Macaca fascicularis: one gene and its partner. The protein of the gene in region 1 interacts with the protein of each later gene in a biochemical or structural test. Links are inferred from orthologs where the notes say so. Each region holds a gene or a part of one and is shown on either strand. Other genes may lie near its edges.

Region 1 (3,986 bases):
CAGTAGCTTGGCTTAGTTGAAGAAACACTGTGCCTAGTACTGTGTCACATAAACAGATGGCAGATTGGCACAGAAACACTGCAACTGGAGTCATAAAACCCCATGTTGTGCTCCAGTCTTACTAATTCCTCTAAATCAGTCACCATCTCTCTGAAGGTTAAATTTGTCCAACTAAAAAACCGGGGAAAATAATAACTAATTTATTTGTATTCAGAATTTGCTTTTCAATACTATCTACAATCATATGTATATCTATTCATTACAACAGGCAAACCATTCTAAAGACAAATAAAAATTTAGAAAAATTATCTGGCAAAATGTAAAAATGCACACTGCAAAAAGCAAAAATTAATTTCATAAGATCATTCAGATATGAAACAGATTTTTAAAGATCAGACCATCAGCTTGATTTGACAGATGAAAAAACTGTGATGTCTGATGCCAAAATGTTAGTTTTTGTGACCTAAGTAAAACAAAGTTCCAGACCGGAACTCAGATCTCCCCACCTTCATGTGGTGGTAGTGCTCTTCAGGACTGATGTGACTGTTCGCTATCTAAGTGAAACATGATATTCAAATTTCATTCAAGAAAAGTTTAATGTGCTATTTCTGCTTCTATTTTTATTCAGTAAAATTTAGATAATACCAACTACATATGAAGAATTCTGCTAGGCACTAAGGGTAATAAAAAGTAAACTCTAGTTCCAGTTCTAAAAGCACTCTGAATCCAATCACAGAGACAAATACACACACAAATAAGTACCAAGACACCATTTTAGCTACAACAATGCAAAGAAACAAATTTTTACTCTAGAAATACAATGGAGGGAACGATTTTACTGTTTGCTAACAGAATGTAATAATTAAGAAAATAATACAACATGACCAAATGGGATTTATCCTAGAGGTAAAGGATTGGTTCAATTAGGAAATCTATTAGTACATACCGTATTCATAAATCTAAGGCAGGTAGCAAACATACAATTTTCTCCATACCACTGAGATGGAGTGTATGTGACAAAATTCAACACCCATTTGAAACCCAACACTCAAGGAAACAAGAATTAAGAGGTAATTTCTCAAAATGATAAAATATATACATTTTAGTCCTACCACCATTAAATTATTTAATAAAGAAATAACAAAGGCATTTCCACTAAGATTAGCAAAAAGGCAAAGATGCCCACCATTTCTACTACTATTATTGTTTTCTGAGACGGTGTCTCGCTCTGTCACCCAGGCTGGAGTGCAGTGGCGCGATCTTGGCTCACTGCAACCTCCACCTCCCAGGTTCAAGCGATTCTCTTGCCTCAGCACCTGCCTCCAACCACCCAGAGTAGCTGGAATTACAGGTGCCTGCCACCACGCCCAGCTAATTTTTTGTAGAGACAGGGTTTCACCATGTTGGCCAGGCTGGTCTTAAACTCCTGACTTCAGGTGATCCACCTGCCTCAGCCTCCCAAAGTGCTAGGATTACAGGCGTGAGCCACCACGCCCAGCCATTTCTACTACTATTCAACATCATACTAGAGGTATTAGCCAAATCAACTAGTTAAGAAAAATCAATCAGATAAATAATAGGTAAGGAGAAAGTAAAACTATCTTTATTTGCAGATGATATAATAGTAGCCTAAAAACCCTTGAAGAATCAATAATAAAATTAACTCAAAAATAAGATTCAATGAAGTAGCAAGACAATAAATTAACATACAAAAAATAGTTCTCCTATACAAAATCAATAATCAGAGAAAATAATGGCAGAGAAAATCCCATTTATAGTAGCAACAAAAAGATTAAATACTTAGGAATAAACTAAACAACGTGTAAAAACCACACAAGGAAAATTTCAGCACCACTGAAAGACACTGAAGAACACCTGAGCAAACAGAAAGACATCCCCATTCTTAGACAGGATGACAACATTATAAAGATGACATTTCTCCCTTACTTTATAAATTCGAGAAAATACAATGAAAATACTAACAAGCTATTCTGTAAAGTTTGGAAAGTTGATGTTCAAGTTGATATGGAAAATCAAACATGCAAGAATAGGTAGGAAGACATTGAAAAAGGAAAACCACAAGTAGACCACCTTTACAAACACTACAACACCAAAAATCACCTATAATTAAAGCAGTGTGGGACTAGACATAAATAGACCAGTGGAATTTAAAAAGTCTAGAATTAGACCCAAACATACCCAGAAATTTAGTAAATAACAAAGGTGGCATCTCAAATCACTAAAGTACAGATGGACTTTTCTATAAATGGTGCCAGGAAAACTAGGTATCCATTTGGAAAATATAAAACTTGATCTCTATCTCATATCATACTCCAGAATAAACTCCAAATAGATTAGGAATCTAGATATAAAACATGAAACCAGAGAAAGTACTGAAAGGAGCTGGGCACATTCCTCAGCCCCCGGGCTCGAAACTCCCTGAGCCTGGTACAAACACATCCCATCCTCCCATCCCACCACATACTGCCATATATCTCTCAAACTCCCTGAGCCCAGTACAAACACCACCTGGAAAGTCTCCGATAAGGAGACGGCCATTCAAGTTTTTACTGAAAGCACGAGAATCAAAAGAATTCCTTTGTTCCCCTGTAACTCTCGGGCTATAAAAAGCAAACGCTCGCATTGTTCGGGGCCCTCTTGTATACTGTGGAATGGAGGGACCAAGTTCGAACTTGTAGTAAAGATCCTTGCTGCTTGGCTTGGACACTGGACTCTGGTGGTCTTCTTTGGGGAACAAACAGTCTGGGCATAACATCTGGGGGCTCGTCCGGTATTCCCCAAGCCCACCAGACCCCTGGTCAACGGATCTGCTAGGATCGATCTACTGATAGGTGAGCTGGCTCGTCTCCGTTTGTCTGTCTGTGTCTGTATGTCTGTTCTGAATCTGAATCTGACTCGCGAGGTCTGAAACTGGAGCTGGCACAGTCCTGGCGGACGCGCTATAGGACAGCCAGCGGAGACCGGTGGGAGACGTCCCCTGGCTCTCTTCTGATTTAAATTGCCATCTGAGCTGCCGGAGCGCGTTCGCGATCCGGGCAGCAGCTGACTCTGACCCCGACTGCCGGGGCGCGCTGGCGGTCTGAGTTGCCGGAGCGCGTTCGCGATCCGGGCAACAGCTGACTCTGCCCCGGTTCTCGGGCGCGCGCATGTGATTTGAATTGCCCCGGTTCCCGGGCGCACGCGTGCGGTCTGAATTGCCCCGGTTCCCGGGCGCGCGCGTGCGGTCTGAATTGCCCCGGTTCCCGGGCGCGCGCGTGCGGTCTGAATTGCCCCGGTTCCCGGGCGCGCGCGTGCGGTCTGAATTGCCCCGGTTCCCGGGCGCGCGCGTGCGGTCTGAATTGCCCCGGTTCCCGGGCGCGCGCGTGCGGTCTGAATTGCCCCGGTTCCCGGGCGCGCGCGTTTGCGGCCCCAGTCCCCGGGCTCCCAGCTTCCAGCGTGCCTTTGCGGCCCCGGTCCCCGGGCTCCCGGCGCGCACTTCCGGCCCCGGTCCCCGGGCTGCCAAAGTGCGCTTGCGACTAGCTATCATTAATAAGTCAGATCAGATTTCCTTTACAGGGATTCTAACCCACATTCCTTTACAGGAAGAGACACAGAAAGTGAGAATGAGTGAGAGAGAGACCATAAAAGACGGGAGAGGGAAAAAGTGAGAAGGAAAATCGGAAAGAGAAAGGGGAGGAAACGGCAGACGTGGAGAGTCAGAGAGAGAGACAGAAAAAAAAAAGAGACTGAATGTAAAGGAAAAAGGACACGGGATGACAGATAGAGGGAAAGAGCAGGCGGACGGGAGGCGGCCGCCGCACCCAGACCCGCCCCCGGGCTGAGTCGCGGGAGGGAGCAGGCGGAGGGGAGGCGGCCGGCACTCACGAGCCCGCTAAAAGGGAAAGTAACTTTGTAGGGCTGGCAGGGCAAACGCGAGGGCGCACTTCGCGGACTAGCACCCCCCCCCAGCCGCCTGACTCCACAGT
Region 2 (2,839 bases), on another chromosome or scaffold:
GAAGGAAAGACAAACAGGGAGTAGAAGGGCTTGTGGGGACAGAGAAAGGATTCAGATGCCAAGAGGACAGCAACCACTGCCAAACAAAGAGAATACCCCACTCGACCTCCCGAAACCCAGAGGGTGAGAGAGAGAGGGGCCACCCCATGAAACCATAACAACTTTGTTTTTGTTTAAAATCCAGTAAATTGGAATGACTCATCATCAGGACAGCAATTAGGGATTGGTCATATAGGTGGACAGGAAAAAGGAGGGGAGGCAGGGGAGGCAAGGCTCTTGCTGGGCATGCGGACATGATACCCAGGGCCCTGGCCACACTTGCAGTGGAGAGGAAGGGGTAGGACTGGGGCAGGGTGACAGCAGGTATGTCAGGGGTGGGTGGGGTGCTTGGTTAGGGCTGTCTGGCTCTCACTTCTTGTTTTTGAGCTGATTGGCCAGCCAGTCCAGGCCTTCGTACAGCCCGTCCCCGCTGGTGGCACAGGTGGCCTGAATGTACCAGTTACGGTGACGAAGGGAATGCAGGCCCAGCTTGTCTGTGATCTCAGCAGCATTCATAGCATTAGGCAGATCCTGGAGCACGTGGGAGACACACAAAAAGAAGCCTCAGGATTTTTTAAAGGCTTCTAGAACACCCATCTACCAAAGAAATGTGTACCAGCACCTTCCCCTCCTCCTTTATTTTAGGAAACCCAGACCAAGATCCTAAGGAGCTACTTTGGATTTAGTCACCCTAAAACCCAAGATCCAAGGCACTGGAGGTCACTGTACTGAGGAATTGGAAACCAAATACGAGATTGGTGGGGAAGCAAGAGACGTGATTCAAACTGACCAAAGAATCAGGTCTGTCTGACAGCAGGAGTGAGGCCAATTCACCTAAAGTAGATAATAGGCAAGATGAAAGAAAGATTTGAGGCAATCCCTGAGGACTGCAATGTTGCTAAATAAAGCTGGGGTGGGGCACGAGAAGAGGGGCATAAAGAAGCCAACTGCTCAATTTCCCACACTTCTAAAATTGAGAGCATACTAAAAGGGTTTACCATATAATAGGCCCAAGACCCAACAATTTCCACAGCCAGTTTGCTGTCTCCCAGATTCTGGGGTGGGAAGAAGTCTCACCTGTTTGTTTGCAAAGACAAGGAGTACAGCATCCCGGAGCTCGTCCTCTGCCAGCATTCTCATCAGCTCTTCCCGGGCCTCATTTACTCGCTCCCGATCATTGCTGTCGACCACAAATATCAACCCTAGGGAGGCAGAGCATGGGCTGCACTAAGATGACAGGTAACCCCCTCCCCCCAACAAGAAGACACTTGCCTGACACCCTCCAAATATTTGCTCCCTTTCCTCCCTTTCTTCTGCCCCCAGGAGCTATAGCAGGGTAACAGTTGGCCACCCATAAACAAGAAAGACAGCCACACACTCTGCTCAAACCCAACCAACCCATGCTAGGCCTGGGCATACCTTGGGTGTTCTGGAAGTAGTGTCTCCAGAGGGGCCGAATCTTGTCCTGGCCACCCACATCCCACACTGTGAAGCTGATGTTCTTATACTCCACTGTCTCCACATTGAATCCTTTGGGAAAAAAACAGGCAATGGTCACTTGGCCTCAAACACTAGCCCTGCAACCACCACCACAATGAGTTTGGTTCTGCTTTCTCCCAGTGGTGGCCATGACACCAACAATGGAAAAAAGCCTAAGGCTTCCTCAGACCTGGTAATCGTTAACCTAGCAGCCTGAAGGCCAAAATGAAAACCGAAGAGAAGTCGAAGAAGATGAGGAAAGTCGGTCAAGAGGTTCACAGTTGCTTGGGTAACGTGGGCCAACTTTCCTGACTTTTCCACTGAGTCTTTGGTGCTCCCTTCTACAAAATGACTCAGCCCTACTCTGGTACTTTGGCTACCAGAGTTGGCCTCAGCTAAGATGTGAGGCCTGAGAGGCAGAGTGAAGAAAGGGAAGTAAGCTGGCATCCTGGAGCCCCAAAGGCAGAGCCAGCTGAGAATGCTGACTGGAGCCCCCACTACATGGCAAATGTTCTCCCTCCCTTCAGCAGACTGTAACCAAGATTGGCCACCAAAGACCTAAACCCAAGCAATTCCAAGCCTTTGGAAGGAACATCAAAGCCTTTCACCTGCTTTCCAAACAACACAGAGAAAAAACCAACTCCATGCCTGAGGGCAACTGTTGAGTGCCAGGCCATGGAAGTTCCTGCATCAGGGAGAGCCAGGTTAGGTGGGCAAACAGCAGCCCCAGCATCTGCTAGTAAGCTAAACAACACCCCCCTCTTTTCTGAACCCCACAAATTGTATGGACTTGCCTGGGGAGAAGAGGCCAGGTGGGAGAACCAGGAATAGGTCCCTGCCCTGACTCAGCTGCTGGCATGAAAGCCCACATCCAAGCTCTGCTCTTACCAATGGTAGGGATGGTGGTGACGATCTCCCCCAGTTTCAGCTTGTATAGGATGGTGGTCTTTCCTGCGGCATCCAGGCCCACCATCAGGATGCGCATCTCCTTCTTCCCAATCAGGCTCTTGAGAAGGTTTCCAAAGATATTGCCCATGATCACAGCAACTGCTTTCTGGGGACAGTGGGGCCCAAGTAGGGGGCAGTGGCAGTCTGGTTTTGGCCTGGTCCCTGGTATGGAAGACCTGATCCTAGACAAAGGAAATGTAAAATCGTACCATCATTTGCTTGTCAGGACTTCCACGTAATTAGAATTTCCCAAGGTCATGGCTAGAGTTCATTCATGACAAACCGAGAGTCTGAGGGGACTATAAATACCAAGGCCCACTTAACATACTGAGTCTTTGGGAACAGAGACAAAGCAGTAAACACTAAGGATCCC

The links. The genes of interacting proteins can lie anywhere in the genome.
Region 2: the proteins of ARFIP1 (region 1) and ARF3 form a complex in vitro, tested with the Homo sapiens proteins (2 studies listed by BioGRID). The link is inferred for Macaca fascicularis from reciprocal best matches to the Homo sapiens genes ARFIP1 and ARF3.

The regions. Positions count from the first base shown.
Region 1 is NC_088379.1:157,703,775-157,707,760, reverse strand, and holds the start of ARFIP1 (arfaptin-1), read right to left. Parts: upstream 2,801-3,986; 5' UTR 2,772-2,800; coding exon 2,643-2,771; intron 1-2,642. UniProt on the Homo sapiens protein: Plays a role in controlling biogenesis of secretory granules at the trans-Golgi network. Mechanistically, binds ARF-GTP at the neck of a growing secretory granule precursor and forms a protective scaffold.
Region 2 is NC_088385.1:55,751,915-55,754,753, forward strand, and holds part of ARF3 (ADP-ribosylation factor 3), read right to left. Parts: intron 2,649-2,839; coding exon 2,407-2,648; intron 1,570-2,406; coding exon 1,459-1,569; intron 1,242-1,458; coding exon 1,117-1,241; intron 571-1,116; coding exon 409-570; 3' UTR 1-408.